2 linked regions of the Mytilus edulis genome follow. The protein of the gene in region 1 interacts with the protein of each later gene in a pairwise test. Links are inferred from orthologs where the notes say so. Each region holds a gene or a part of one and is shown in the gene's direction. Other genes may lie near its edges. The genes, in order: protein LTV1 homolog and small ribosomal subunit protein uS3.

The links.
Region 2: the proteins of protein LTV1 homolog (region 1) and small ribosomal subunit protein uS3 interact in a two-hybrid assay, tested with the Caenorhabditis elegans proteins (2 studies listed by BioGRID). The link is inferred for Mytilus edulis from reciprocal best matches to the Caenorhabditis elegans genes T23D8.3 and rps-3.

Annotation. Positions count from the first base shown.
Region 1 is NC_092344.1:118,740,748-118,758,154, reverse strand, and holds the start of protein LTV1 homolog, read left to right. Parts: upstream 1-10,568; 5' UTR 10,569-10,694; coding exon 10,695-10,697; intron 10,698-16,336; coding exon 16,337-16,468; intron 16,469-17,407. Other genes in the region: mediator of RNA polymerase II transcription subunit 26-like, read right to left, coding at 1-772, 2,918-2,992, 10,016-10,078.
Region 2 is NC_092351.1:20,187,914-20,205,732, forward strand, and holds the start of small ribosomal subunit protein uS3, read left to right. Parts: upstream 1-10,727; 5' UTR 10,728-10,825; coding exon 10,826-10,855; intron 10,856-11,129; coding exon of another isoform or gene 11,130-11,130; exon of another isoform or gene 11,131-11,148; intron 11,149-11,909; coding exon 11,910-12,134; intron 12,135-12,734; coding exon 12,735-12,829; intron 12,830-13,505; coding exon 13,506-13,693; intron 13,694-16,306; coding exon 16,307-16,494; 3' UTR 16,495-16,496; intron 16,497-17,819. Other genes in the region: cathepsin O-like, read right to left, coding at 2,263-2,378, 3,581-3,737, 4,360-4,425, 5,839-5,947, 8,529-8,631, 10,395-10,553.

The DNA of each region.
Region 1 (17,407 bases):
TTTTGTTCAGTGACTCATCTGCATATTCCTTTCGTGCACGTTTCCTGTTTGCAATATTTGTTCTAGACAATTTTTCATCAATATTTCTGTTTTTTGCTTTTCCGTTGAGTTCTGGGGAATGTTTAGAACGACGTGGAAGTTTTTCACTACAAGCACTTGATAAACTTTCTTGAGACATATTTCTAGTCAATCTACATGAGTTTTCAATTCGAGTTGAACTCGGTGGGCGGAGAGGAGTATCTACTGGAGTTGATGGCCTACTGCAAGAAGACACAGGAGACACGGCTGGTGATCTTGAATCAGTTGAAAATGTCATTTTTGGAGAAATTGCGAACTTTGGTGTACTATGTAATCTTGGTGAAGATGTTGGTGTGGATCTCAAACTTGGAGAGAGAGTTTGTTTAAAATATTGAGGCATACTTGGAGTGTTTGGTTTGCTCTTAATGGCTGGAGTATTTGGTTTGACTTTTTGTTGCAGCGTTGGTGTATTTGGCTTTGACGAAGGAAGTGATGGTGTGTTTGGTTTGCTTCCTGGCAGTCTTTTAACCTGACTAGACTTTACATAGGCTGGTGATAATGATCCCAATGAAGGACTTTGTAAACTGGCAACATTTGGATGAACAAGGCGTTCACCATTATCCCCATTTACAATGGGATTGTCAGAATTGATCAAATGTTGCCAATTTTTCACTAACTTTTTAGCTCTTTTAGCTAATTGTTCATTTTTTGTTTTCTTCCTCAATTCATTTACGTATCTCCCAATTCGTGTTTGCTGAAATGGAAAAAAATAAAATAAAGTAATAAAGATGTATTAAAATATCACCTCCATTCTTAAGTTAATGTGGAATAATTTTACTTGCATTTAAACTCAAGAAATTCATGACTACTTTAATATAAATAATGAAGTGGTCAATCTCTTTTTTCTTTCATTGTAGAGATCTAAATGTTCCTAGTTCCTGTGTTCAAAAATCTTCAGCAATCATAATTTTGATTTGGCATCTGGGATATGAACCTTTCTCAAACTAGTATTTATAGAGGTTTTGACTTAAATAATGTATTTTGTATTCACATTTTTTGTTCTAACAATGGTTATTAATTGGTTTTTCAATAGTTTTAATTGTACTATTTGTACAATTCAGGTCTTCAATTCATATTCAGGTTATACAAGTTCAACTTTTTTCCTTTTCCAAATACATTAAGGGGGTTACCATTTGATTTTTATGGGGGGGGGGGGGGGGGGATAGGATGAAATTTGAAAAAAAGGCAGCATGACAATTGTTGTAAAAAAGTCAGGATAAGCTAAGGAAAAAAAAAAGGCAGGACCGAATAGACTGAAAAATAAAAAGGCAGGACAGAGATTACAACTAAAAACTAGAGGCCCTCAAGTGCCTGTGTCGCTCACCTGTTACTGTATTTACTGATGTTGGCCATCTTGGGTGGTAGGTGGGGTCATTAGACACTTTTTTAAATAGATACATTAGTAATGATTGTGGCCAAGTTTGGTTAAATTTGCCCCATAGTTATAGAAAAGAAGATTTTTGTACAAGTTACAAAAATGACGAAAATTTGTTCAATATTGACTATAAAGGGCAATAACTCCTTAAGGGGTCCTCTAATAATTTTGATCATGTTGACTTATTTGTAGATCTTACTTTGCTGAACATTATTGCTGTTTACAGTTTATCTCTATGTATAATAGTATTCAAGATAATAACCAAATACTGCAAAATTTCCTTAAAATTACCAATTTTAGGGCAGCAACCCAACAACAGGTTGTCAGATTCATCTGAAATTTTGAGAGCAGAAACATCTTATTCTGATGGGCATTTAAATCTTGAAAGATTTGCCCTAAATATCTTAGTTTCAAAGATATAAAGCAAAAACTGCATTTCACCACTGTTCTAATTTTAGCCATGTCGGCCATTTTGTTTTGTAGGCGGGGTCATCGGACACATTTTTTAAACTATATACCACAATGATAATTGTGGCCAAGTTTGGTTAAATTTGGCCAAGTAGTTTCAGAGAAGAAGATTTTTGTACAAGTTACAAAAAATGACGAAAAGTTGTTAAAAATTGACTATAAAGGGCAATAACTCTTAAAGGGGTTGACTGACAATTTTAGTCATGTTGACTTATTTGTAGGTCTTACTTTACTGAACATTATTGCTGTAAACAGTTTATCTCTATCTATAATAGTATTCAAGATAATAACCAAAAACTGCAAAATTTCCTTATAATAACAAATTCAGGGGCAGCAACCCAACAACAGGTTGTCCGATTCGTCTGAAAATTTCAGGGCAGATAGATTTTGACCTGATCAACAATTTTACCCCGTCAGATTTGCTCTAAATGCTTTGGTTTCAAAGATACAAGCCAAAATATACATTTTACCCGTGTTCTATTTTTAGCCATGACAGCCATCTTGATTGGATGGCCAGGTCATCGGACACATTTTTTAAACTAGATACCCCAAGGAAGTTTGTGGCCAAGTTTGGTTAAATTTGGCCCAGTAGTTTCAGAGGAGAAGATTTTTGTAAAAGTTTACGGACGCCGGACGCCAAGTTATGAGGCAGGACACAATTTTTCATCCTAGCCCCCCCATAAAAATCAAATGGTAGCTCCCTAAGATTGAACATCTTTACACATTTTTAGTGTATAGTATGTCATGGTGATCTTGTGTAAAAGCAAATAAGTGTCAGCTCAGTCAGTATGCTGTGCCCTACATGTTAAACACATTTCTTGAAGAAAAAAAAAGCAAATTAACTCAAAATAAAATTGGTAAGATGTGTCTGCGTAGCACTATGCCACTTTAAAATCAAAAATTAATATCTGCAGATGGACATCAGCCAATCAATCGGACAATCTTGATTTGTGTTCATATAATGAGAGGAAGTGAATGTTTGTAAACGACTCTTACCTCCAATGCTTCTCTAGACATAGGATATTTCTCCAATAAGGAGATAACAGCCACCACTGCTGCCATGTCAACAACCTGAGGAAACAAAGGAAACTTTTTTATACAGAGATATAATCCACTTTGAAAACATATGGCCTATAACATTTTAACTTTATTGAGTCTGTCCTAGGTTACGGGGAGGGTTGGCACCTTTGAAATAGTTTATCCCCGACACTTTTTGTATGTGTCTGTCCCAAGTCAGAAACCTGTAACTCAGTTGTTGTTTGTTGCTGTTTTACAAGTATGTTTTTCATTTAATATTTGTACATGCACAATAAACAGCTGCGCCATGAGTTCATGTACGCCCTTCGCATATCCATAGAAGAAGCTTATTTTCAATTAAATGGGCCCTCCAAGGAGTATAGTACAAAATAAGACGTAAATAAAACAATAACAAAAAGAAACCAGATGCTCCGCAGGGCACAGCTTTATAAGACTGCAGAGTTCAAACCCTGAACAGTTGGGGCAATTATGGACAAAACATTCAAGCTTGATACAGCTCTGATTTAGAATAGTGATTAAATAGTTGACACGGCAAAGGTTTCTCACACAGAATGAATGTGGTCTAATGAACTTAAAAAAATGTTTTATTCCTTTTGAGAAATACACTTGCTGTTGAATATAAATCCCCTCAAAAAAATATTAGAAGAAAAATTCTTTTTAATCTGAAATGAGAAAAATTTTACCCCCACCCAATTATTTTTCCCCTCCCCCTTTTTCATATTCCAAAAAATATCTCAATTCAAGTTTCTAATTGAGTTGGCAATAATAACTTCTCATGTAAATGCATCATAAAATATTAAAATAAACAAGAATGTGTCCTCAGTACATGAATGCCCCACTCGCACTATCATTTTCCATGTTCAATGGACCGTGAAATTGGGGTAAAAACTCTAATTTGGCATTAAAATTAGAAAGATCATATCATAGGGGACATGTGTACTAAGTTTGAAGTCGATTGGACTTAAACTTCATCAAAAACTACCTTGACCAAAAACTTTAACCTGAAGCGGGACAGACGGACGGACGGACAGACCAGAAAACATAATGCCCCTCTACTATCGTAGGTGGGGCATAAAAATGACATACAGTCATGGTTAAAATTAATATTAATTAACAGTAACTTCTAACAATAAATTTACTAATACACATCTCAATACAATCATTTCTTAATACATAATTTTCAAGCAGTGTAAGGGAGCTAAACAAGTAATCAAACATACATTTTGTATATGTAACAGTGTTTCTTAAAATTTTAATTGGTTTACCTCCCCTTCACTGCTTTTAAATTGTCTGAATTAACCAGAAAAACCCTTGTTTTCCCCCTTTTTTGCCCCTAATTAATTAATGATTTGAGCCATAACCATCCCTTTGTAGTATGGAAACTTGTGGTATTATTTCAGAGAGATTTAAAAACAAGTAATTGACTGATAACTACAAAAATGCTTATTTAGGCCCCTCACTTATTGAAACCCCCCCCCCCCCCCGACCCCCTGAAGCAAGAACACAAAAGCTAAATTCCAGCCTTTCCTATTTAGTATGAAACCTTGTAGTATAATTTCAGAGAGATCCATACACTTAAACACAAGTTATTGTCTGTAAACTAGAAAAATGCTTCTTTTTGGCCCTTTTTTCTTAATGTTCAGAGATATTAACCCAAAATTGATTCCAAGCCTTCCCTTCGTTATATGGAACCTTGTGGTACAATGTCAGAGAGATCAATACTCTTAAATACAAGTTATCGTCTCTAAACTAGAAAAAAACTTGATTTTGGCCCCTAAATACTGCATGAATTGAGCAATTACCCCCAAACTCAATCCTAGCCGCCTTCATTTTGTGATATAGAACCATGTGGTACAATATCAGAGAGATCCATAAACATACACACAAGTTATTGTCCAGAAACAACAAAAATGCTTTTTTTGGGCAACTTTTTGGCGGTATAATTTAAGAGCAATTGAAATACTTATACACAAGTTATTATCCTGAAAGTAGGAAAATGCTTGTTTTGGCCCCTTTTGATATTAATAATTCAAAGTTTCATGAGAACTGCTGAAAGCATTTTAGAGTTATTGTAGGAAAACTGGAAAATCCTCTTTTTTAATGATAAAACCCCATAACTCGGAAACATTAAATCAAAAATTTATAAAAAACAAAAGGGAGCTAGTGTTTCCTACAGGTGGTTTTGGCGTGTAATGGCGCCCTGTCCTTTTTGGGAAAAAAATTTGGCGCCCTGCCCTAATTTTGTCGAAATTCCTGACGCCATGCCTTTACCGTCGTAATTAACAACCTGTACTGAAAGACATATTTTATGAATACCGCTCGAGTTATTTCCCTTCAAACGTAAACAAAAGTTCACTAGGACGCCATGTTGTAATAGATTTCGTAATCAGCTGATTAGCAAACTGCAATAGATTGAATAGTGAATACAGATACTAATCATGCCATCAACAAATCGGATGAAGCGAAAACGTGAGGAAGAAAATGAGAAACAGGCTTCAAAATGGAGAAAGCTTTTATCATTTTTTCAAAGGTTTGTAGATTTTTATTACAAAATGGTTACGCACTTGCAACGGTGTTGGTTCGGGGGTTAAAAATAAACTTTTGTCAAAGGGGTAATTTAAGGTTAAAGTTGAGTTAGGCCAAGGATCTCATCAAATCACTTGCATATTAATTACTTTCAATTAATTCATTTTTTCATCAAATTATTTTTTTTAAATTTACTTCTTCAGTTTTTAATTTGAATTAATCTAAGAAAGGAACAATTTATGAAAAAACTTCCAGATTATTTAAGATATTCTTGTTTTATGTGTTATTTATTTATTTTCAGCACCAAAGAGGCACGGAATGTTTGTGACACAACGCAGAAATAGACAGAATATGTCAACTGTAAACAATCTTGTTCTAGTGTTAGCAAATACCAAATCAATAGATGATTTGGATATCAGGGAATGTGTCAACCTGTTTTTAGGGAAAAAAAGGAGGATTTGTCAATGACAATTAATATGACCAAAGCAATATTTTTATATATATGACATAGTTCTTTCTTGTTTTTAAACATTTTTAAAGAACTGATTTTGTTTTTAATTGTGTTTATTGTTTTAAATATTTCATATATATGTTTTAAACACTTTTTCTTGTTTAACAATTTGTTTTAATGATTGATAAAATTTGATTACAGATGTATATGTCCTTTTTATAGCATTAAACTAGTATGTTTTAAATGAATCCATTTTATAGAAATTGCCTGTTTATATTAAGTAAGTGCCCTAAAATTGTTGTCCATCGCGCTTAATGTGCCCTCTGAGCTAACAATTACCCTGCCCTTTTTAAAAGCTGCAGGAAACACTAGGAGCTCACATCGTTAGATATATATAAACAATTCACTAAAGTTTTATGCAAATTAGTTAAAGCATTTTGGAGTTTATGTCTGACATGTTGATGACGGACGGACAAAGATATACCATTTACATTATACGTCCACCAAACAGGCCTATAAAAATATTGATGGCCGTCAACTTTCTTGTTGGAATTATTTTTCTTTTGTCATTTTGGTGATTTTTGTAGCAGACTGCAGTATGGGTTTTGCTAATTATCAAAGGCCATTTTGTCTTTTGTGCAAAGTTGTCTCAAAAGTAAGTATACAGCATATTTTTATATCAATACATGCATCCACATTCAAAATATCTGGTGTACTTGCTCCTGGTTGGGATTTGACCTTAACCGAATTCTGTTTTATTCAAGCCACAACTAGACAATAGGAGCTCGAGGACTATGAACAAATGATACATAAAAATGAGCAAATATCGAACGCATTCAGCCTTCTTTATATTTAGAAGGATTCTGTTACTATTTTCTTGTAATACACTTGGAGGGTTTGATTATGAAATCACAAGTCGTCTCGAAGACGTGTTTGCAGCAATGCCCGAAGCCGAGAAGGTGTTGCTAAGCAGAAACAACAAATATCTTCATTTTCTGTCTCTACTCAATTATGATGCCTATTGAACTTTTCGTATACAGTACTTAATGGATCTAATATCACAAGCATGGATTTAATTTGTTCTTTAATATGGTAATATTCTTTTTAAAAAATCACCCAAGTCTTAACCCTTTCAACGCTATACACGGCATATGCCGCGATGACATACGCCGTCCGCCACTGCTATTCGCGGCATATGCAGCGATGACAACGGATTTTTCATAAGGACTCTTAAACCATTCGGTTTTCATTCGGGTCCTCTCTAATTTTTCCTTGTATGAATCGAGGATATGCAAGGTCTCATTTGCGCTTGAAATCCCGGCAATTTTTATTGTAAAATCATGCAGTAGAAGGAAAAATTGAAGGAAAATAAAAACAAATATTTTGACAAATGCAAATGGCGGAAATCGGAAACGAAGCTGTAAATATGGAAATATTTCAGCATTTCTATGGCGAAACTGATGACGAGGATTAGTTAAAAGGTTTCTTGTTATCTCAATGTGTTTATTACATTCAATTCGTGTGGGAAATATGATTTGATCGATCATTACGAGACGTAGAAAAAGGGGGGAAAACGGAGGTTGACTGAAAATTTTGAGGACGGAGCCACTGATTTGTGCCATGATTACATAATACGTTGTGTATGGTGCAATACGCTACGGAATCGAGCAATGGGTGTCTTCTTTATTATATGGCAGATAAAAAAACCCAAAATAGATGAAGACGAAAAGTAGTTTTTATTCAAAATTCAACACAAATGTAACAAATTACACCTTTTACCTGTTAATTACCTGAAAATGCAGGTAACCTGATAAAGATTTTACTGAAATAATTGCCTAACATTACAGTTCATACTCTCCTGAGCATTTTTCATGCAATAACTTTTTCTGTATCTCTTACAATAAAAAAGATACAGCAGTCTGAAAAGGAATATACTGTTCTAATGAATGAACACAAAAAAAATGCAGCAGCAGCAGCCATTTTTCTATTTTTTTGTGTAGCGTTGAAAGGGTTAATAATATTAATAATAAAGTGATTGATGTATATTAGTTTTTGGTGGGGTTCATGTTGTTTATTCTTTAGTTTTCTATGTTGTGTCATGTGTACTATTGTTTTTCTGTTTGTCTTTTTCATTTTTAACCATGGCGTTGTCAGTTTGTTTTAGATTTATGAGTTTGACTGTCCCTTTGATATCTTTCGTCCCTCTTTAAAGGAGTTAACTTTTATTAAGAAATTAAAAGGGAATTGCTTTAATTTTCAATTTTTTGTTTTTTTTAAATATTGGATTGTCGAAGTTTTTCTTTCCTTTTCTGTGTTCTGGATTTTTCTACAGGGTTATGAAAAATGAGATCATTTCTTTCCAGGTAATGAAGATTTCATTTGGTGTCTTTTCAATATGATAATTGGGGTTAATATCAACAAGTACTTGAGTAATGACGATATCTATCATGTGTATCACTATCTTAGCTAGAACTGGGTATTCCTATATAAAAGTATTAATCTTCACCCTAGTTGACATTCCCACAAAGTTTGGCAAAAACTTACTAGTCCGATTGAAATTTTACTAGTCAAGGACATCGGACTAGTAGCTAAACGTGCAGACTGTGGATGATACTTTTTTTTTAATTTCATTTATTTTAGTTGCTCTCAATAATTGTACTTCATTCTTACATGTACATAAAATTCAATCTGTTCATGATTTTATATCTCTGCTCATTGAGCTAGTGTGAAGAAACCAAAAGAAAAATTCAACAGATATTTTTTTTAAGAGAGGTTTATTATTATCGTTCTTCTTTAAGTTATAAATGTAAAGACTTGTCATTTTCTTTCTTAATCTTCTTTTGAATAGCCCCACTTGGTACAGTGTATCATCTCTTTTTAAGATTCATGTATCTAAGCTGCAAAACCTATAGCAAACTTTGTCTTTTTTGTTGATTGTTTTTGCTTTCCATTGACCATGAATTTAATCAGTTTAATTTAGGGTTTGTTTTTAATTATATTTTGTACACCACTGCCCTACTGGGCTAGGTTGGGGAGCAGACCTGTAGCCAGGAGTTTCCAAAGGGGTGTTATTTGGACTCATGAACTCAACTTTAACAGTCACAATTCAAACAGAATGTTGACTTTAGGGAGCTACCATTTGATTTTTATGGGGGGGGGGGGGGCTAGGATGAAATTTGAAAAAAATAGGCAGGACAGGAGTCCCCCCCCCCTCATAAAAATCAAATGGTAGCTCCCTTAACAGTGCTTATTTGTTTTCAAGTGAACCCCCTCAGACTATGGGTATGGGGAGTGTCGGGGGACATCAATCATTATTAATTCCACCCATGTGTACCCAATCCAGATCCTGCAATTCACTGGATGTTGTTTGCTGTTTTTAATATAAAAAAAAAGATCTTTTGTTGATTCACAACATTTTTAGCTTTCTATGAAGTGTGGGTTTTGCTCATGTCAAAGACAGTGATCAATATTGATGATGGGAACATCAAGTCATCAGGAGAGTTATCTAATCAGCAATCAGACATCTTAAATATCTTTGTATAATGAATTTTAAGTTTTACTTGTAATGTAAATCTCATCTACCAAAATAGCAATCAGAAACAAAAGGTTAACTTGGTTGATGAATTATGAACGCCATGCACAGGTAACATACTAAAAGTTCTTTGTTTGATTAAATGTCATTTATAAATGAATGGATCACACTAGTTTCAGCAAAAAAAATCTTATAAAACATTTAAATGTGAAAAAAAATAAGTCCTTGTACAGTATACATCTACTTTCAGTAAACTTATTTCACAACAGGAATGAGATACGAGTGAACTATAATCAATATATGCACAGATCAAATTAATTAATTTGCTTGATATGTAATTTTTAAATAAAAATATTTTCATATGGAGGATTCCGTTATATAAACCATAAACAATTTTTATTTTTACTTATGAAAATTCACGCATGTATGTTTCGCCTATCATCGGTAAATAGTTTGTTTAAATAGCTGATCGAACACAACATGGGAGCCATGCACAACTTCACCATGGGACAATTTTATATTTCAATTTTCCCTGTTAATTTCTTACATTATTTTCCTCATCAAGGCCCTTCAGCAACTTCTCCTTTAATTCGTGCGGACTGCACTGCATTGGGACGCCAAAAAGCCCCCAATTTAAAGGATTTCAGCCAGCTGAACGACTGATGTTGTCCGTCCAGTATGGCGGACTTCCATACATTGCAATTGTACGGATATCTATAGCGCACTGGCATCTGGGAAGTCTCTCTCCAGTGTCGTGACGTAAAGTGACGAACGACTGGACTGAGCAGTGCGCGATTGTAGACCACGTGGTTACGATAATACGATATCAATGACGTAGAACTTCCCTTCTAAATCTACACCAACATATCATTTGCATTAATTATTCAGTAAAATGAGACTTTATTGTTTAATATTTATTAAGAGTTTGGTCAATTATAGAAAATAGTAGAAGTAGAAGAAGAAAATGAGGACCGACGAGCGGACTATTTTTTGTCTGATTCAGTCACACAAATATTTGCCAAAAGAGGGCTCTGATAGCTGAGTTGACTATTTGGACATTTGATTGGCCAAATGTACCGCATTTATTAATTGGTTTAGGTTTCCATTCGGATTTTAACAAAACTTATAAACACTAGAGAAGTTTCGAGTAGCACTTCCGCACATTTCCAAACACGAGGTTTAGAAAATGTAAAACACATCAACAACATTTTCAACCAACCAAAATAATGGTTTGTAACAAACTTTTGACCTGTTCCTATCATTCATCCCAATAATTATTTACATTGTGTTTCAAAAATGACAAGTAAAATCATAAAAAAAAATTTAAAAACCGTAAAACTAAAAGGGTGAACACTTTAATTTATTGATGTTGGATTGTTGTTTTGACCTCATAAAAATGCATACCAATTTATAATAAACCAGCACATCAACTCGGAAACCTGTGATTACTGCAAACAAAAAGAAAATGTACAACACTACCTTTTTGAATGTGATCTGTATTCAGATGCCAGAGACAAATTATTTCATCTGATCAAATCTAAGGACCAGACATGGGGTAAATTGTAATTGTAATCGTTAATCAGCTGTAATTGATTACAATTTTTCAAGTAATCATTGTAATCATTAATCAGCCAAAAAATTTGATTACATGTAATTTAATTGAATCAATTACTTTTCAAAATACCCTGTAATCCTGATTACTTTTTGATTACATTTTGATTACAATGAACAAAATCAAAAACTGTTTATGGTCAATAAATTAACCTTTTTGTTTATATTCATATTTAATTGTACACTTCAGTAAAAAAAATGTTACAGTATTGAACAGTCATCATTAGCCTAAGTAAAAGATTCACAATTTAAAGATGTATATATACTTGATAATAAAATAAATTATTATTATTACATATTTGATAATAACTATTAATTTTAAGTAATACTTTTCTTTAACCCCTGAATTATAATTTTTTGTTAATATTGTGATCTTTGTCCACTTTGAATTGACAGGTAGGTGACCAATTAAGGTTTGTTTCTATTGCAATTACCAATTGTGTATAGCTGTAGTGTAATCATGATAATATATATGATAAATGATAAATCAGACTAATTGATAGAGGACAAAAATGTAGTTCAAATTAAAAAAAAAATTGTATGTATTTGGACTGGACATGTAAAATGCTATGATTTTTGGTACTTATATTTTGTTGACAATTTGATAAAACAATATTAGTAACATTTTACATAGTTTTTATGGCCCACCTACGATAGTAGAGGGGCATTATGTTTTCTGGTCTGTGCGTCCGTTCGTCCGTCTGTCTGTCTGTTCGTCCCTCTGTCCCGCTTCAGGTTAAAGTTTTTGGTCAAGGTAGTTTTTGATGAAGTTGAAGTCCAATCAACTTGAAACTTAGTACACATGTTCCTTATGATATGATCTTTCTAATTTTAAAGCCAAATTAAACTTTTGACCCCAATTTCATTGTCCATTGAACATAGAAAATGACAGTGCATGTTTCAGGTTAAAGTTTTTGGTCAAGGTAGTTTTTGATGAAGTTGAAGTCCAATCAACTTGAAACTTAGTACACATGTTCTCTATGATATTATCTTTCTAATATTAATGCCTAATTATATTTTTTATCCAATTTCATGGTCCATTGAACATGGAAAAAAATAGTGGGAGCGGGGCATCCATGTACTTTGGACACATTCTTGTTAATTGGTAATTTTATGTCATCCATATTTTAAATTCCTGAAACTGAACCTTGAAATACACATGATACATGGAGAGGTTTGATGACAAACACCAAACTCTTTATAAACCTTTATTTAATTGAAGTAAAAATAATTCAGAGATCAATGATGATTAAGTGTAATGGGTCATAACCAATGACATGTAAATATGCTGTAAATTTTTGTAGTTTATTAAACATATAAAGTTTGATGTTATTATTTTATAACATATAAAATTCTTTTGCAAAAATACTCATTTTGTTATATTAAACATTTATTCATTCATTCACATCAGTTAAAATGTTTTTTTCAAAAGTTCATTGTAATCAGATGTAATCATGATTACTTTGCCAATGTAATTGTAAATTTAATCAGATACTTTCAGAAATGATGTAATCGTTAATTTAATTTAATCATACAAATGCCAAAGTAATTGTAATTCTCGACACTCCTAGGAGTCGAGATTAAGAATTGAATGATGGACAGTTAGTGCGTGAATTTTTCTTTCTACCTGATTGGAAGATATTACGAGACGTGAATAATCAAAGTTTATTGATTGGTTAGGACAATCCAAACCAAGTAAATGTCCTTCAATCCTGTAGAGTATTGGATTTGTCCTCTCTATTTTAGCAATTAGATTTTATACAGGTAACCTTTATCTATAAATAGTCGAATCTTCTGGAGTAAACAAATATGTTAAACGATACTACTTCATAGCGTGTGACCTCACGTGTGTGGTAAAATTTGTTGATTGATGCACATGACTATATTCTAGTAAATGAATTAATCTACAAAGCGAGAGCACTTTCCATTTTCATCAGCTAAGAGTCGAATAGCCTTTTTGAAAGGCTAACGCTTGTTTAATCAATTACATTGAAAGTAATCAGACCCATCTCTGAACAGGACAAATTCCAACAGATTTAGACAATTTATTAACAATCACTTTGCCAAATGCAAAAAATATCACTCAACTATTAGGGGAGTACATATAAGAAAAAAACGTTTTAGTGGATAATTTGATACAAATTTCTTTTAATTTTTATTATTTTTTAATTTTTCATGTCATTTCAATTACCTAATTAACAATTTTTTTTATTTTTTTCACTTCATACATTGATTCTTTAATATTTTTAAAGCGCCACCTACAATATAAAAGTACAAAGGAGTAACTACATTAGTGATTAATAATTTTACAAGAGAGGATAATTTACAAGAGAGATTACTCTGTCATCACGTCAAAAAGATTGAAGATTGAAGACCTCATTGTCTGACGTTAAATCAGTACATTGTAGTTGTTAAGAATTCCTCTTGAATGCAGACAGGTTAAACAAAGACATGTATTAAAATTGGGTCAAAAGGTTTGGGACCTCCACACTTCAGAATCTATCTCGAAGATGGAGATGGTCGATAGTAGTCAGAAAGTAATCTGACGTCCTAGGGCTGTTTTGCCAGACAAGATGGGGCTCTTTGACGTCCCACATCAAAAAGTGGATATTTGCCCAACCAAAATAGATGCGCTGCTTCGTCGCTTCTGGTGCCGTCTAACAGCCTTGGAATTATATAAATTGGGCATCAATCTGTTCAAATTCACAATGTCTGAATCAAGTTGTCACTATGAAAACTGTCTAAATATGAGAAAATAAATGGTGGCAGGTAGGTGAAACTTACATAAATGAAAAGATGAATGAAAAATGAACAGATTGATGCCCGATTTATTTAAATCCAAGGCTGTTAGTCGGCACCAGAAGCGACGAAGCAGCGCATCTATTTTGGGTGGGCAAATATCCACTTTTTTATATCGGACAGGCTCTGACGTCCCACGACCCCAGCTTGTCTGGCAAAACAGCTGTAGGACGTCGATAGGAGAGGTGCTCAGTAATAATAACAGTATGCCTGCAACAGTTATCATAACACTAGCATAGTCCAAATAATTATCGTGAAAGGCTATTATATTTGTTTCTTTGACAACCTTACATCGACATCATAATGCTGAAGCCATCATTTTCGGTCTGACTTTTAAAACATATTTTGTTCTCAACTTTAAGACCCAATTTAGCCATAAAAGTTTCATTGAAGGCTAAAAAAATATGCATATATATACAAAAATTCTTACCTTTTAAGTGTTTGTGCAAAATACTTCCAATAAATCCCTAAAGTAATAATAAAATAAGTTACAATTCCATCTTCTGCTTTTTTTCAAACGTTATAAGGAGATTATAAATAATTTTTTGCACCAAACTCGGCCAATATTTGACAGACCCAAATTTCCAGAACCTTTGTTTTATATTATCCTGAAATTCAGGTCCGTCAAATTTTACCAGGTTTGGTTCAAAAATATATTATATACACCTTAGGATTAGGAGAAATCAGCTAAACAATTTAATAAAGCAGTTAATTCCCTCTCAAAGTCCAACTGCAAATATGAGTTTGGCTTTATGACATCGATGTAAGTCGTCAAAGAAAAAACATAATAGCCTTTTAAGACGTCATAATAATTTAGACTAAACACTAGCCTTTTCTCGATCTTGATATCTATATCACTAATGGAAAGCTGAATACTAAAATTTATGATAAAAGGGGTAATTTTTCATTTCCTATCGTTAATTATCCGTTTTTAGATGGTGACGTTCCCTTGTCACCATCTTACGGTGTTTATATATCTCAACTTGTACGATTCGCTCATGTATGTAACAATGTTTTAGATTTTAACGAGAGAAATTTATGTATTACTGAAAAATTATTACACCAGGGTTTTCGATATCACAAACTAGTCAAAACATTTACTAAATTTTATCATCGGTATAAAGACATCATTCGTAAATATAGCTCAACATGCAGACTTCTAATACGTTCAGGTATTTCACATCCAATTTTTTATGGTAATATTCTTTATAAAGCACAAAAGTGTCAGTATTCACCTCAGAAACTTACAAAACCTTTGAATAGACTTATTAAGAAGGGATATAATTACGATACTGTTGTCAAGTCATTAAAGATTGCATATTTTGGCGTTAATATTGAGTCACTGATAAGGTCTTTGCATCGGAACTAAACACATTATTTTTTAAAAACAGTTGTTGGCATGACACGGGTTATGTTCTTCTCATATATGTTATGATGGTATGATACTAAACCCCTAACGGGAAGGATTGTGCCTGATGTTCATATGATGAAATCATAATCTTTCAGTCAGTTTAATTGAAGTCTGGAGCTGGCATGTCAGTTAACTGCTAGTAGTCTGTTGTTATTTATGTATTATTGTCATTTTGTTTATTTTCTTTGGTTACATCTTCTGACATCAGACTCGGATTTCTCTTGAACTGAATTTTAATGTGCGTATTGTTATGCGTTTACTTTACTACATTGGTTAGAGGTATGGGGGGAGGGTTGAGATCTCACAAACATGTTTAACCCCGCCGCATTTTTGAGCCTGTCCCAAGTCAGGAGCCTCTGGCCTTTGTTAGTCTTGTATTATTTTAATTTTAGTTTCTTGTGTACAATTTGGAAATTAGTATGGCGTTCATTATCACTGGACTAGTATATATTTGTTTAGGGGCCAGCTGAAGGACGCCTCCGGGTGCGGGAATTTCTTGCTACATTGGAGACCTGTTGGTGACCCTTTGCTGTTGTTTTTTATTTGGTCGGGTTGTTGTCTCTTTGACACATTCCCCATTTCCATTCTCAATTTTATCAAACATGCTCAATACACTCAACTGGCCAAAATTAACACCACAGATTATGTGCATGCCGTGTGATATACAAGAGCACACATCATCTTGTTTCTATTCCAGCTAGCACAATTCTCATCCCATCAGACTCTAGAACAAGAAAACATCATTTTCACACCTTCAGACATGTTTATACATCTAACGACTCGCAGAGATTTTCATTTGATTTTTCCCATACACAATAATGCAATGGAATCTATTACCAATTACAGTTGTTTATACACAGACAGTCAACTCTTTCAGAGAGCAGCTTACATACATGCTTGCTATTCTCTCCACTCATTTAAATAGCTTCATCTTCTGTAAATAGATTAACTATGTCTGTTCTCTGCATCTTTTTTCTCCTATATTTAACAAGATAGCAAAAAAGAAAACAATGTACTAGCAAAAAAACTTACATCTGTTCATTTCAGCCTAATAAAAAGAAGAAATTCATAGATAAGAAAAATGCTGTTACCTTTCACCTTGTCCACAGAAGTCAGAGAGATCCATTGCAAGCAAGTGAAGATGCCTCTTTGGGAGTCCTGTTATCGACCAATGATAAAGTAAGTTTTTATTACTTTTTATTAATTTTTTTACCAAAACAAGCAACCAGCAAATTGCTCATACATGTACATCTTCCCAGTACTACAAAATAGCATGACTTTATACATGTACTTGTTAAGCAGCTGGACAATTGTGAGTTGTAACATATTAGTACTTTTCAGATATGTAAGACATCTACTTCCTTTTTTGAAAATGATGCATCCGCGTCATGTTTCCGATACCATTGACCAGAACCGGAAGTTGATTATATTTCCACCTACCGCACTCGGTTCCATATTTACTATTTTACATACTAACTGGAATCTGCTTGTAATACGCTACACTCGAACAAAGTGTTGTAGTTGGATGGGAACCAGTTTACATACTTTATTTTATTAATAAACAAAAGATCTTGACCTGTCCATAGAAAGACTTGTATAGTCCGCAGTTTTATTCTCCAAAATTGGACCTTCCAGAGGGGGTGCGGACTATAGAGTACAATAAGCAAGAAATAAGAGAACAAGTTCAATTTTCGCGGCAAGGTGGTTTGTTTACATTCCGCCATCTTTGTTATTGATATTGTAGATGGCACTCTCATCATTTTTCAAACTAATAGTTTTAACTCATCCATATTGATAAGTTATTTCTATTCAATATCAAATTAATACTGATAAATATAAAAAATAAACCTTTCATTACAAATTTCTCGTTTCTTTTCAATGCATAAGCTGGTTCTCGGCTGACTACTACACTTTGTTCATAGTTTGAGCAGATTCCAGTTTATTCAATGCATCGGTTGAAATAAACTGGTAGGCCTATCTGCTTGATTGAAACGATATAAACATAGTCAAAAAGACCACTGTAAACCAGCTTAGAACTACAAAACGTAATTGGTTATTGTTCATTCCGTTTTGGTGTTTCATACTGACTAATATTGTTTGTATAAGCTTAAGACCCTT
Region 2 (17,819 bases), on another chromosome or scaffold:
TTACGGCTAATTTCGCTGAAAGTCCAGCCGGGTTATCCATTATAACACATTCAAAGAAAAGTCCAAATAATTATTATAAGTACGGTTCTCAGTACGGCTACTGTCCAGCCGGAGTACGTGTCATGTTTTTCGTACGGGAAGGCTTGCCAAGCTTTTTAAATAATTAAAAGCTTTTTAAATAATTAAAATTTAACTGTCGATAGTGGAGAAATATTTGTAATACACAAGTTGTAGTGTTGGAATCTGTTTCTCTGATGATTTTTATCCATCAATTTCAAAGATTTTCAGAACTTGTGCTCTTCATATGCGACGTCATCAGGCATGGTCACCTTTTTGCATGACGTCACAATAGGAAAATTCAGAAGAAAACAAAACATTTTGGCGTCATAATCAAATTTCGAGTAATCGTTTGCCAAGAACAGATATTTCACTAGTGAGGAGAAATATTTTTCTCACACGGTTCAAGAAATGTGAAAATAGTACAAAAATTAGAGAAATATAATTATTCATTAAATATGAAAAATTGCTTTAGCCGTGTGATATGACTTTTGTTATCAACTGCTTCTGTTTTATCTCAACTGCTTCAGGTTATTATCGCATGCCGTAGCATTATAGCATGACATTTCGACATCAATTCCAAAAAGTACACATCAATCGTTCGTTTTTTGTTGTTGTGTAAAACATAAAGTTTTATAAAATAGGTTGTGTCTGTATGTCTTCTGTTGGTATGATTAAATGAACATAACATGTAATTTTTTCAAATCAGACCCCTTATCAGCCCATGGTCAAACTCATCCCTGGAGCCTGCTGGCTGGAGGGCTGATATGAAAATGCCATGTTATGATTTATATCTATTTTAAAAAAAACAACATATGCATTATTCTTTTTCAGAAATTGGTTGTGAATAAAATTGAGAATGGAAATGGGGAATGTGCCAAAGAGACAACAACCTGCCCATAGAAAAAAACAACAGCAGAAGGTCACCAACAGGTCTTCAATGTAGCGAAAAATTCCCGCACCCGGAGGCGTACATCAGCTGGCCCCTAAACAAATATATACTAGTTCAGTGATAATGAACGCCATACTAATTTCCAAATTATACTCAAGAAACTAAAATTAAAATAATACAAGACTAACAAAGGCCAGAGGCTCCTGACTTGGGACAGGCGCAAAAATGCGGCGGGGTTGAACATGTTTGTGAGATCTCAACCCTCCCCCTATACCTCTAGCCAATGTAGAAAAGTAAACGCATAACAATACGCACATTAAAATTCAGTTCAAGAGAAGTCCGAGTCGGATGTCAGAAGATGTAACCAACGAAAATAAACAAAATGACAATAATACATAAATAACAACAGACTACTAGCAGTTAACTGACATGCCAGCTTCAGACTTCAATTAAACTGACTGAAAGATTATGATTTCATCATATGAACATCAGGCACAATCCTTCCCGTTAGGGGTTTAGTATCATACCATCATAACATATATGAGAAGAACATAACCCGTGTCATGCCAACAACTGGTTTTTGAATAAATGTGTTTAGTTCCGATGCAAAGACCCTATAAGTGAATCAATATTAACGCCAAAATATGCAATCTTTAATGACCTGACAACAGTATCGTAACTATATCCCTATGTATTTATCTATGATTATACATTGTATATAAATATCATAACTAGATAAGATTTCTAAATGTTAAACCAGCTTTTACTACATTATCTAATTCAAGTGAAGTAGTTGTGTTTCATCAAATTATTGTAAAATTGACAGACTTAAAAATATGTATTCCAATATTTGGTCTAACAATCAATCTTATTCATAGAAATGTAAAGGAGGAAAGATAAAAAGTTATACACACATGTGTTGCTGGTCTGGGTAACTTTTTGAGAATGTTTAATAAATCTGTGGGGAGTAATTTTACGGATCTAATATATATAAATGGGTAAACATTACATGGTAATGGGTCCTAAAAGTTTATTTTCGTTAAATATGTCAGTCAAAACTTTACACTGATCTTTTTACTTAATAATTTGAATGATGGTTAAAATCTAAATAAGATATGACATATTGTATGTTTGATAGGATATATATGAATGGTTACAATTTTCCTATGACATAAACATATGGGTAGGGATTCTAACAAAAATAGATGTATGATTTTACTGTAATTGACACACACCCATATCTAATGTTTTCAAAGCGCCTTCATTGGATTCCACATATGTTTTTATGTAACATCACTAACTTTTATGCCTACCTTTGAAAGTTACCTGACTTGACTATAACTCCATCACTGTTATTGACTATAATACGACAGGAATCAGATGTGTCAGTCAGTGGGTATTTTTTCTCAGTTGTTAGTGGAGACTGGGTCTGAAAACAAATTCCAAATATCATAGCAAGAAAATATCATAGCAAGAAAATATCATAGCAAGAAAATATCATTATTTACATGTTTATGCATTTTTAATATACATGACAACAATATTTGGTGAATGATAATTATAGAATAACTAATCGAAGAATTCAAATAGAGAAAAATATTCAACGAGTGACCGAACAACACATTAATTCACGAATGTGCGTACCGCATGAGTTAATTATCAGGGTTGTTCTGTCACTAGTTGAATATTTTTCGATATTTGAATTCTTTAATTATTTATTCTTTTTATTACATTTGCAAATGGCTTTTTTTAAAGAAATTAATGTAAAACATGTAAGGAACTATATCTTTTCTCTACACATTCACAATTTGTTTTGATCCGCCATAATCGAAGTCTTGACAACGCATATTGTTGTATGATGTCAGAGAGTGTTTTTTTTTCACTGGGAAATCAATGTAATTCATTGTAACCAATGTAATAATCTTGAATATCAAACAAGATGAGAGCTATCATACTGATATTATAAAGAAAGAAATTTTTGTTGTTGTTTGTTTTACTTTTAAAAGAAAACCCATGCAAACACTGTTTTTATGGAACCATATAAAAACCAAAAAGCTGCACAAAGCCACAAACTATCATCTGAGGAGTGTTTATGTTGTGATATTGTAAGGTATAAAAAAGTAAACTATCAATGTTTATATTAAAGCAACTCAATGGCCTGCTCAACATGAAGCTAAATAATTCTTCTTGTTTTATTAACTAAATGTTTTTGATTTAAAGTAAGGTATTGAAGGCATAGAATAGAATAAAGAAGATAATTGGTATGATTGCCAATGAGACAACTAGACTTCACAAGAGACCAATTTATGACACAGAAATAAACAACTATAAGTCTCTGTAGAAGTTCATTATTAAAATTGAGAATTGAAGTGGGGAATGTGTCAAAGAGACAACAGCTGAAGGCCACCTGGAATGAGTCTTTAATGCAGGGAGAAACTCCCGCACCCAGAGGCATGCTTCAGCTGGCCCCTAAACAAAAATGTATACTAGTTAATGGACTTCATACTTAACTAAAAAATATATACAAGAAACTATTGAATTGTTTATCACTCTTTTGTAGAAAGATGATCTGATGAACCATGCCATCTGTATAGAATACAATATTATACTTCATGACATTGAATGACATACATCTTTAAGCCACTTTACTGCTCGATATGGATCACCACCGCTACATCCATCGTTATATGTGGCACAATCAATAACTTCCTGTACGCTCAGTCTAGGGGGAGGTAATCCTGTCTGTATAGCTTTCATACTTTCTATAGTTTCTGTTGCACTGAATGCCCTGGCAATATAAATATAGATGAAATTGTATTATGTTTACCTGGATATTTCAAAAATGTGCAAAATTCCCACAGAATTGTGAAGAACATCAATAATTACTGTAAATACAGAAATAACACAGTAATCAAAGTACCTGTAAGCACTGAAGCGTAAAGATTGTGTTAGTTTATCAGTGGGAAGTAAAATTATAGATTGCAGTGTCAATAAAGCATTGGTTGTAGTTGATTCAAATACAATTCTGGACAATGGGAGATAACTCAAGTTTTTAAAGATGACTAGATTTGCATTGTCTGTTTGGCTACGGAAGTACATGCGTCATGATAAAATGGAATGAATTAAGTTTTTTTCTGTTACTCATAAAGTTATTAGTGTGTAGCTTATAAATAATTTAAAATGTAGATACAGATAATGTTGAGATGTTGTTCATGTTTTATTTTCAGGTAAAATTTTCAGATAATACAATGTTCTTTGTTAATAAAATGTAAAATATAACTCACACCAATTAAGAAAAGGTGTTGAATGTGTCTAATAAGTACTGACATTTGGATAATTATCTATCTGTACTTTTCTACTTACCAAGGATTTGTATATGTAAGTCTTACTATACAAATCTTCGCACTTACCAACATCCTCCACATTTCTTCTGATTCTTTACTGGAGTCACAAAGTTTATGTTGCTAAAATTTCTCCTGTAATACAAAAACTAGAATTAGGTCATGATTTAAATAAGAAGATGTTGTATGTGTGCCAATTAGACAACTCTCAATTCTAGTCACAAGCTATGAACAGTTAATAATTATAGGTAAGAGAACAGCCTTCAACACAGAGCATTTCTCACACAGAACAGCAAGCTATAAAGGCCCCAAAATGACTAGTGTAAAACCATTCAAACAGCAAAATCAAGTCAAATTTCTATACAAATAATAAGGCACAGAAGACCACCTTTACACCAGACCTGCAGCATAACTCTTGAACTTAAAATATGCACTTGTCATAAAGGAACTTATAGACTATGGTCACTGATAATGTGTTTGAAGTTAAATATTTTGTCAAAAGGAACATTAACTATCATAAAGAAACAAAAAGACATATCTGTTTGAAAGAAAATTGATGGGAATATTCTGATCAAGATGTAAAATCTGTAAAAATCAGAATTCATTCCTTATCAAGGTTCTTAGGTTCTTAAAAAATCTGTCTAGTGGAAGTTTAGTTCTAATGAGGAAATCGAAAATTCCCAATTTTCAAAAAAGATTAAGGGGCATAACTCTTGAATTCTAAATGCCAAAATCTTGAAAACTGATATGTATTTTATGGATCATGACATTGTGTTAAAATTGAAAAAAGTTACTATCATCTGAAATTCATTTTTTAATTGGAAACCAAAACTAATAAATATCAATTTTGAGATGTACCAAGTAGCATAATTCTTGAATATAATGGAAACCAAAGGCTTCAAATAAACTTGAAATAATGACAACTGACAATACTGCCATCATCACCAACATCAGCTCAAACTGTTGAAAGATTCAGAGCTGTCCTGAAGGCATGCTCTGCTAAAATTTAGACAGTAACATCCTGTACATAGTTTTAATTGTATATATATATATATATAAAGAACGTTAAATCCTGTAAATAGCCAAGAGAAAACTTTCTGTGTTGTCTGACACTGTGTTAGTTTTCGCGGGACCTCATACATTCAAAAATTGAATTCGGTTCCTTACCTTGAAGAAGAAGAAGAAAGTGTTATAAATTTTTTTATTTCGAGAAGTAGTACAATGTACTTTAATTATCAACTGGTAACCAAACATGTGCACAGGGAGGAACCATGGAAGTAAAATAAATATAAAATTTAATGAATGGACAAACTGACATACTTGTGCATCTATAACTAAAGCCTTGCAATTTCACTACATGTATTATATTATTCCATTTTTGATGTAGGCATTTCAGCAATGTATTTAGGAAACATAGAATTTCAATTTTTTAGTTAATATTTAAATGAGTTACTATAAAGTCTGTGATATATTTTTGATGGTTGTTTGCTATACCTCAGTAGCAAGAAAAATGAACGTTAAATTATTATCACATAGCCTGGAAATTACCAATCAACTCTTTTTGGAATATCCAATCTTCTGAAGAAATTACTTGGAGTATGATGCTGGTTTTCATCTTTTGTCTTTCTTGAAACTTTCAAGTCTGATAAATACTGATCTAAAAAATATTAATATGGTGTCAATTTATTGATATTTTATCTTGCATTGAAAATTCTGTATTTAACGAAGGTATATAAAACTATGTACTATATATATGTTATATTCACTATTACAAAAATATTCTGCAATGTTAAATGACAAAATAAGTCAGAATACATACATCCAATAAAAAAGTGTAAGTAAAATGAAAAAAACAAATTGGAGACAGTCATGCAAGGTCTTAATATAAAGAACCAGATGCTCCGCAGGGCAAAGCTTTATACGACCGCAGAGGTCGAACCCTGAACGGTTGGGACTAGTATGGATACAACATTCAAGCTGGATACAGCTCTGAATTTTGATTGTGGTTAAATAGTTGACACAGCATAGGTTTCTGACACAGAATGAATGTGGTCTAATGAACTTAAAAAAATTGTATTTGCTTTTGAGCAATTCACTATGCTGTTGAATATTAATCCTCTCAAAAAACAAAAATATTCATTATTCCAAAAATGATCTCAATTCAAATTTCGAATGGAGTTTGCAACAATAACTACTCATTTAAATACATCATAAAATATTAAAATATAAAATGTCATACAGTCAAGATTCAAATTAATATTAATTAATAGTAACTTCTAAAAAAATAAATGGGGAATGTGTCCAAAGGGACACAGATGATGCTTCCACTAGCATTTAACGTTATAAAGGAACATAACTCAAGAACTGTAAAAGTGAAGCTGCCAAAAATTGAACTAAAACTGAGTTTAGAGGTAATAACCATTATATACACATTTCTTTAAATTAAGTTGAGACAAACTTAAGTAAAGAGAACAGAAACTAAAGTATTCTTCAATTTTCCATTTATAAAGGGGCATAACCCTAGAATGGTAATCAAAGTGCTTGTAATCACTGAATGGTAAAGACTGATTTAATTTATCAGTTGGTAGTAAAGTGAATATTGCATTGCATATTGTATATAGCATTGATTTAAGTTGATTCAACTACTATTCTGGACAAAGAAAGATAACTCCAATTTTCAAAGATTTCATAAAGCATTGGTTTAAGGTGATTCAACAACCATTCTGGACAAAGAAAGATAACTCCAATCTAACATTTTATATTGGCAAATTTCCAATGAAGTTCATTAAACTTAAGTTATTGGCAAATTTTAAATGGAATTTATTAATAGTTAAGTTTTTGTCAAATTTCCAATCTACATAATTTAAAAGCAGTTTAGGTGAGATATTCAAATGAGTTTCAAACACCAACCTAACACTGCTTTTCAATTATGTTTTGTACTTATTTAATTGTCCATTAACCTGGAAACCCTTTTCCCCCCTTTTTTGCACCTTATTCCTTAACGGTTTGAGCCATAACTCCCAAAGACAATTCTTACCATCCCTTTGTGGTATTCCAATATCCAAAATCTAAATACATGGTTAGATTCAGCATATCAAAGAACCCCAGGAATTGAATTTTTGATGAAATAAAATAAAGTTCAATTTTGGACCTCACTGTGGACCAATTTGATAACTAGGCCCAAATATCATAAATCTAAATACATGGTTAGATTCAGCATATCTAAGAACCCCATATATTCAATTTTTGTTGAAATCAAACAAAGTTTAATTTTGGACCCCAATTTGGACCAACTTGAAAACTGGGCCTATAATCAAAAATCTAAGTTGATGTTTAGATTCAGCATATCAAAGAACCCTAATAATTCATTTTTTGATGAAATCAAGCAAAGTTTAATTTTGGACCCTTTTGGCCCCTGATTCGTTGGGACCAAAACTCCCAAAATCAATCTAAACCTTCCTTTTGTGGTCATAAACATTGTGATAAAATTTCTATTAACTTACACTAAAGTTATTGTGCAAAAAACAAGAAAAATGCTTATTTTGATACCTGTTTTTGGCCCCTAATTCCTAAACTGTTGGGACTGAAACTCCCAAAATCAATCCCAACCTTCCTTTTGCGGTCATAGACCTTATGTTAAAATTTCATAGATTTCTGTTTACTTATACATGTATTTAAGTTATTGTGCTTAAACCAAGAAAAATGCTTATTTGGGCCCTTTTTGGCTACTAATTCCTAAACTGTTACTGGGACCAAAACACCCAAAATCAATCCCAACCTTCCTTTTATGGTCATAAACCTTGTGTTTAAATTTCATAGATTTCTATTTACTTTTACTTAAGTTAGAGTGCGAAAAACCAAATGTCTTTGGACGACGACGACGACGACGACGTGATACTAATATACAACCAAAAAATTTTCAGTTTTTGCGGTCATATAAAAGTTCATTATTATTTGTTCTGCTAAAAATAATCGTTGACTTAGATATATAGATTTGTCTCCCCTTTCCATTCATTAAATATATGTCTCCCATCACTATTACTGTAAATAAAAACAGAAATTCATAAAATTTGTTTCAATTTTCAATTTTCAATTTCGCCAACATTGAAACACTTAAAAGAGAGCTATACTATAAAGTTATAAATGGCAATACATGTATGTACAATTAACACGACAATGGTATATTATTGGTCATTGATTACAGTAGGCAGTTAGACAATAACTAAAATGAAGCCTACCTTTAAATTCTTCAGGTGAAAGATCAGAAAATTTAGTAGGTCCATAGTAGGCACTTAAGTGTTTGTGAGTTCCATTTAGGAATCTCTGGAATTCTAAATTGGTCTGAAAATATAAAAAACTTATAGAGTAGTGAATCAAGATAAATGATAAACAACAAAGTAACAAAACAGCAAAATATCTTTCTTTCTAAACTTCAATTACAAAAACAAATGAAAGAAAAGCATATATTTTTTTTAACATTTCCTTTGGATAAGGTAACTTTTCAATTATTTTTATTTTCAAACAAGAAGTTGATTTATTTAGTACACATAATAATAGTTTTATTGCTGTTCTTTGGATAAAAATTAATTATCGCTAATTTACAAATTTTTCCTTTGATCTTGGTGACTGATAATTTTCTTTCTCAGAGGAGTTTAGTGATAAAAAAAATTATCACTAGAAACTAAGGGCACACATGTCGTTGTGAATTAAATTAACAACGTCGTCATAGGTAAAATACCGATTATAATTGGTCATTTCAACTCGATTGCTTTTCTCACTTTTGCTGTACCAGCTCAAGCGAGAAAATCAATCTTGTTGAGATAAAAAACGATAATCTATAAATCTTTTTTAAAAAGCACAGTTTTTGTTTAAGGTATTATTATTCCTGTGTAGTTTGTGCACTAGATTTAAATTTGTTCAATTTTACATCTAAATTGCTAATTAACCAGAGCTGTAACTTAGCCATAATATATATATATATGTCTAGATGTTACTGTGCATCTACAACAGCAGACTAGTATATATGGCAAGCTCTTAATCAAATTAAAATAAATTCAATAGTGTTCACCAAATATCCTATAGCAAAACAACACAAAAATCTATATGGAAAATTGTAAAAATGTAGGTACATATATGTATTATATATTTCTTGGTTTTATTTTAAAACTTTATGTATATATATATCAAAACAATTTGTTATATTTTTTTCTTATTATAATCAGAGGTAGTTTTTACTCTCAGATATTAAGTTTATAAATTGACATCCATTATTGTATATGTATGTCCTGAGTTAAAGTTTCATACTAAATGAAAAATTATCCTCTCTAATTTTCTACATGCAAACATCATTCTGCATCAACTTTCTATCTTAATACCGTAAGTTCCTCATATATATAGACATGATGGAGATTCTTGCTGCTGACCATATGTATGTAGAACATGCCACACTCCATCATTCTCAAAAAAGATTTTTGGTAGATTTTAACAAAAATCTGCTAAAGAAAGTAATCTTTCCCTTAAAATAAGTAAAAAATTTAAGATGCCCCTTTATTAACTAAAACATGTTAAAGCCCCAGAAAAATTGCTTTCAACAAACAATTGACTTCTGCATATAGACATGCAAATAATTCAAAATGTGTTTTATGTAGACTTTTGCATCAGTGTTACCACTAATGCACTTGGGTGTACGTAGCTATCAGCAACTTGAACAAGATAACATCACAATGCCTACATCACGCTCTCAGAGTAACCAAAACACAGTTAAGCTTCAAACCATTGTGCTTCAGTGTGGGCATCATGGATCCAAGTATCATTGCAGTTCAGAGTCCTACATAAATATAAACTTTCTTCATGCAATGATGTTTCAGGTTCTTAGCTTGATGCCCTGTTTGTCATTCCTAATAGTAATAATTAATATAGTACACCATAGTAAAATGGAATATCTATCTGATAGCAATCAAAATGGAATAAAGAAAACTAACATTATAGAAATTGTAATCAGTAATAAAGTGTACTGAACAACACTTCTAAAATATAATATGGATTAAAAAAACAGTGATATTGATAAGCTAAAAACAGTGATCAGGACATGGTTAGTTTTTTACCTTGTAGTTTTGATATTTTTTGTGGAACACTGGTGTTTCTGAAATGCTCTCTTTGTTAAATTTTTGAAGGTAAATACTGAATTCTTTAATCTCGCTGCTGTTCACTAATAAAAGAAGAAAATATAATACCAAAACCAAAGTGAAAGTGAAACTTGACATAATGCAAAACTAAATATAAACCGGAACTCCGTGTAGAACACTTTTCCGGAACTAATCATATCATAAGTTGTTATCAGTTAGGTACAGATTTAAAATGAACATTTCTAATCAAAGATAAATTATTTTTTCTAAATTATTTAACAAAATGAAAATTAACTTTCCTTAATTAAGTGTATAACTATTGCAAATATCATGCGGAAATAAATCCGAGATCGGTCTCCCACAATACATTTCGTTCCACTGTGAACTTCCTCTTTAAAATTGCCGTCAACATGGCTAACCCAATAAGTAAAAAACGGAAGGTTAGATTCCATTTTCACTTAGTCTTCTGAATTTTATAAAGAAGTAAACGAACCTAACATAAACACAAGTCATTATAGTATCCATTTTGATAATTTTTTGTTACCGATGGCGAAGTTGTTGCCCGATATTGAACGGATGGATATGTATGTTCTTTCGTTTTAAAGTAATGCATAGTTAAATTGAGTGTTATTCTGATTTCAAATCATAGGACTAATTCAATCGTATAGTAGTCACGTTTGCAAGTTCATGAATCTCAAACTATAACTTGCATACTTTTTCAAACCTGCAGCTTTTCCTTGAAATCTCGGACTTTGCCTATGATTTCTTCAGATAATTTTCATCTAACTGAGGCCTAGAAGTAGACTTGTATTAAGGTTGTAAAAAAATCGTGAAGCTATGATTTATTCACCCGAAATTCATGATTTTTGGAATATTTCTGTCAATCCCCACTATAAATGAATCCGTGGTTTTCTGATTGCATGCATTTCTCAGTCTGCCTCGAGTTTGGGAGGTTGTGGGTTCGAACCAAAATACAGTATACTTAACAATTGGCATTTGCTGTTTCACTGCTAAGCACCGAGCATTCAACTGTATCGTAAGAGCAAAGGCTGGTCAACTTGAATAATGTGTTTGCAAGTAATGTATGTAGCCATTGTAGAGTGATATTTCTCGCTGTATACTAATACCTAGCAAAATTAGCAATGATACATAATATGGCTCAGAATTCATTGTAATTTTATACAGGATTTATATTGAATTGTACCATATAACTAAATAATATGCATTTAATTTTCAGCTTGTCATAAACTCCCATCTGTATTATCATAAAAATTGAAAACAGTTGTAGATGCCAAACATTTAGATAAAAAATATATACGGCTTAAAATTGATTTGGCTAGAAGAACATTCTACTAATCCTTAATTTATCAATGATGTAAATACATTAAATTTCTGAGTAATGGCTCCATCAATATCGTAGGTTCAAGAAACAGTACTCCCTATAGCTAGTAATACATGTACAATGTAGGTAAATTAAGTTTTTCTGTTTTGTAGTTTGTTGCTGATGGAGTTTTCAAAGCAGAATTGAACAACTTCCTGACAAGGGAACTGGCTGAAGATGGTTACAGTGGTGTTGAAGTCAGAGTAACCCCAACACGAACAGAAATTATTATTCTGGCCACAAGAACACAAAATGTTCTTGGTGAGAAGGGTAGACGAATCAGAGAACTGACCTCCGTTGTACAGAAAAGATTCAATTTCCCTGAAGGCACAGTGGAGGTATTTCAATTATTATAATACTGGTGAAAATATTATTTTTCCAATTTTCAGTGTAAAATGTTAAGGTCAGTCCGGTACTGTCAGCTTCTTAATTATTGAGCTTCCTACTTGAATTGCATGAACTCAATATTCCAATCGAACTGTCCTTACTATAATTAACCACACATGTGTCAACTATAAACACACATCACCTTTATATGTTGAAAATTTTGTACAACTTTGATAAAATACACTTCTGTTTTTACCAATTATTTTCTAACCAAAAGTCTACATCACACAATGCCACAGTTAACACAACAAAAGACAAAAAAGTAATGACACAAAAACTAACTAGAAAACAATGAGGAGATGCAATGCGACACGACAAATTGTACAAATCCTGGAGAAAACCCTGCCATGTCAGACAGACATTTTAGTCCTACATGTACAAAATAAATCTGACTTACTCTAATTGACTGAAATAAGTCCTCAAGATTGAATAACAGACCACAAGCAGGCAGATGATATTGTACAAGAATTAAACATTCATTTGTATTGTAGATAATTAAATTTATACTGTTGAACTATGCATGCTTTACATTATGAATATATCTGTTTCAGTTGTATGCTGAGAAGGTTGCACAGAGAGGATTGTGTGCTATCGCCCAGTGTGAATCGCTTAGATACAAACTGATTGGTGGTCTTGCTGTAAGAAGGTAAATTTTGACACTAGTAAAAAAATAAGGAAAAGAAATGTTTGCATCAATGAATTTGCAAATACACACTCTACACTTATTCTTTTGAGCTAAAAATGAAATACCAAAGTTTATTTGATTATGTCCAATTATATAAAATTGATTTTGAGGTCAATGTTCAAGGTCAAAATAGCTTTTGATAGATCAAACTGGGACATTTATTTGGTTTCTGTATGGTATTTGCCTCTAGATTTTTGTTCATAAGATCAAAGGTCATCATCCCAACAGGAGCAATTTTAAGTTTTCAGATATCTTTTGAAGCAAATCTTGAATCAATGCCAAGTTTGATAATATCCCTTTGTTTTAGAAAAAAATAAATGTTGGCAATAAACCATCATTCATTTGACAAATATTTGATGCAAACTTTTCAGGGTTTTTTTTTACATCTAAAACCCCTAAAAAAGAAATTGTCATTAAACTTTTGAAACAATATCTTCAATCATTAGCAAAACTTATTTTGTTCATGTCCTTTAAATAAACATCATGATTTTAAGGTCAAGGCAAAGTTCATTTGTCAAGTAAATATTTATTCACAACCTATCTGACATTAATTATACAGGAAATTCATTTAATAGAAAAAAAATCTGCAATTCATAGGATAATAGAAGTTAAGGGGATAAATTTCTTTTTTTGATAGAGCATGCTATGGTGTTTTACGATTCATCATGGAAAGTGGAGCTAAAGGCTGTGAAGTTGTCGTTTCCGGTAAACTGAGAGGACAGAGAGCCAAATCCATGAAGTTTGTTGATGGTCTCATGATTCACAGTGGTGACCCAATCAATGAATATGTTGACACAGCTGTTAGACACGTCCTTCTCAGACAAGGTATGATTGTTACTGATGGCAGGAATGTAGAATTGTTTGTGAATCCTTCTCCCTGGGCATGCCAATCTAAATTTAATTTGTTGTGAAAAGAGTAACTTCCCTGAATTTCCCAATAATTATTGAAGTAATTTATTGTAAGCTATAATGGGTTTATATCACAATATGACTGTGATATTTGTTTTATATGTGTTAAAAAAAATGTGTTTCAATTGATTTTTGTCATGTGTAATTTTTTTACTCGCCCGCTGGTAATCCAGACAAAAAAAAATGTTGTGTTCAAATGTACAAGTTGGGAAATTGCAATTCCACACCCCTGGGTGATGCATAATTTTCAATGGAAACTGTTTCGATGAAAAGACTTGTTAGCGAACACTGGAAAAATTTAAAACGAAAGGACAACAATAATTTTAAATTTAAATCAGGGTTAATTAATATGAGTTAAAATCAATGTTTAGAATCATAACAATTGTTTGTTTGCAAAAAAAAAATCCAAGCAAGTTATGGTACAATAAGAGCAATATAAAATGCCTCAGTAATTATCTGTTTACCTGTTACAATTTTAATTCCCCCTCTGCTGCAGAGGAGTCGTTAATTTTACCCTTGTCTGTCTCTAAAATGTCTGCACATCTTGAAATTGGTTTCTATTTTCTAACTTTAGTGTGCTTGTTAACGATACTTAATACTACAAAAGACAGATTAAAAATGAAAATTGGTGGAGTCACTCTTACTGTTCTAGAGTTGTGCCCCTTTACAAATAGATAAAATTATGAATTTTTGTTTCTTTTCTCAAATCATAACAAATTACAGATCAAGTTTGAGTTTTGTTCCCATCTTATGATTTTCTTCAGAGCTATGATCCTTGGACTTAAAAAGTCACTCAAAAAATCAGTTTTCCACACTTTTTTGTCTTGATTGGAGATCATGACAAGTTACAGATCAAGTTTTGTTTCGGTACAGAGAATTTTTAACTGGTAGGGAACTGTACATATTGCCATGCAAAAAACTCAGAAAGCTTGTTTTGTATTAAAAATATACGATGCAATTCCTAATTATTTTTCATGCATTTGTGATGATGTTGTGGATTAAAAGGAAATTGCAATAGCAAAAACAAGTTTTACTAATCCAGTTGTTATGATTTACAATAACTACTGGTTCGCTGACTTGTAACATGTACATTTTGAATAGTATTTAATTGAATATTGAAGGCTAATCAGTAACATAGGTAGTATTACCTCCAGAACATTGACCATAGGTGAAAAGGCTAAAATAAAAAATGAGATCCCCTGTAGCGAAGGTTGCATTAAGTTTTACCTTTGTCTGTAGGCCTATATGTTCCAAATATGTGGTATGATTGCTAATGAGACAACTCTCCTAAAGAGACCAAATGACACAGAAATAAACAACTATAGTTAGTTTCTGTTCTCCAACTTAAATTTACCTCTACCAAATTTTATGAAACTTGTACACAATGCTTATAACCAAAAAAACACAGATCAAGTTTAAACCATCATCATATCTAGGTTGGACTTAGTAAATACAGCTGTTTCACAAGTCAATCCTCTTTTGGGGAGATATATATATTATTTTCATAGATATGTTAATTTGTTATGGTACTGGTTCCCAGACATGATTTCTGTTTTTCATCTCATAGAGACGTAACTAACTTGGAAATGTTGGTAACTTTATACCAGTATAGAAAATCAGGGTAGCGCCAAAAATTTAATTCTTAAAGGTCCTAAAGTGGGGGTAGGGGTACAATGTAGTATAGAATATTAGTATAAATTTAAATTCTTAGAAGTTCAGGGCATATTAATGTTGAAAATATGTGGCACAGCCCCATATTGCAGTCCGTCTCTGTTTTTTCTGACCATTAGTCTGTCCTGCTAAGGGCTATTCCAGAAAAAAATGTTTCTGGAATAGCCCTAATCAGTTTTTCACTCTTTTTTCATGCACAAAGATATTGATTTAATAATTAAGGTGGCTCATGGGTACAAAAATTTTAGCAAAAAATTAAACCTTTATTTTTTCATTACAAATTTTATTTATTACACTATTAGTTGTAACGAACTATGGTACAAAAAACAACCCAAAAAATTGATTTGGTTTGGCCCCAAATGACTAAAAATTGAAAAAGCTCCAAATTATCTCCCTTTGGTGCAAACATGCCATTTTTTGGCCTTAAATTTGAAATATCTTTTTTAACTCATCGGTGACCTATATTTTTTATTATTATTTTCAAATAAGCTGTACATAAACTAAATAATTGTAAAATTTAAGTGATTTCTTATATTAGGTTATTTTTTTATTTCGATATTTCCTCTTTTTCTCCTATTAGTTCAACAGAAAAAAAGGACATTAACAAAAATGTATGCTTCTTCCAGAGGCAGATTTTAGCTTAAATGAACGGTGACCCCATTTTTTTATTTCATTTTTCTTTTAAGTATATGATAAAGTTCATTTATGAAAAAATATAGCGAAATCCTATATTAGAAAAAAAATTCATTTATACCCAGGAGCCCCCTTAATACAAATAGTTTAATCATTTTATTCAGGTATGGTCCTTATAAAAATAAATCTAAATTTATCTAAAATTGTTTATTTACATTAAACTAGGTGTACTTGGAATTAAAGTAAAGATTATGTTACCATGGGATCCAAGTGGTAAGATTGGACCCAAGAAACCATTGCCAGATCATGTTATTATTGTGGAACCTAAGGATGAGGTTGTTCCTTCAAGACCATTCTCTGAGCAAAAGGGATCTAAACCTACAGATCCAGCCCAGCCACCTGTTGCATTATAAAAGTAGGTATACACTCTTACTGAGAAGAGACACTTTACAAAAACTTTGACAATAAATATACTGTGGATTTATAAATATATTCGTTGGATACCAATTTTCACGGATTTTGTTGGTACAATTGAACCACGAATTCAAATGTTTAATGAATAACAGATTTAAAATAAGGTTGTATGCAGACTTTCACAAAACCATGAAATCAAATATCTACAAAAAGGCATATTTTCGTCAATCCAATAAAATTGGTAACCACAAAATTAAATGAAACCACAGTATCATTTTTAAAAATCTTGGGATACTAACTTTTAGTCTTTTACTGACTTTTTTTGTTATCCACAAATTTTAGTGTTGAAGGAAGTACACATTTTCTATACATACACAGAGGGAAAACCATGAAATCAATTATCCATATTTACAGTTTTCCTGAATCCAAAAAAATGATACCCACACAAATGAATAAATCCACACAATTCCTAACTTTTAAGTTATCTCCCTTTAACGATCTCTAAAATAGAAGATCACTATTCCTTCCAATCTGTACATCTATTATAGAATTATAAGATGCAACTCCTAATTGTATTCCATGCATTTGTAATAATGTAGGGGATTAAATGGAAATTGCAAAACCAAAACCAAGTTTTACTAATCCAGTTGTTATGATTTACAATAACTACTGGTTCGCTGACTTGTGACATTAATAATGTAGATTTTCCAAAGTGATGATGTGTAATACAATGTGGAAATATTTGTTGTGAGCACTTGTCCCCGGGCAAGTGAAACCTAAAATTTTACTTGTCCGGAAAAAAAATTACTTGCCCTGATGATCCCAATAAATATTGAAGTATTTCTTGTTAGCTAATATATGATTCTAACGTAGCACTGTTGTGCATCACAAACAAATGAAATCTATTTGTTTATATGTGTAAAAAATTAGGAAAGTAGGAAATGGGTTAACATCAATAGGACAGAAACCTAACAGCAAACCAACCAATGAAATGACATGTAAAGGACAATTTTTAATACAGCAGTTTTTGAATAAAAATTGTAGCCAGTTAGTAGGTACATATACAGTGTTCCCGCCTGCCCTAAATAGAAGGGCGCCCCGCCCGCCCTAAATAGAAGGGCGCCCCGCCCTTGGTGCCCTTACCCCCGCCCTTCTGCCCTCCAAAGCCAAAGAATGCCCCCCTCTGCCTTTTCAAAAGATACATTTTACAAATTTCATGCCTTCTGGCGTTTCCGGTAAAATTGTTACCTGAGTGATTGTGTAACACTAATTAACTGACAATAGGATTAAGTTAAATACCTAATGCCTTTGGCAGTTTTATCAC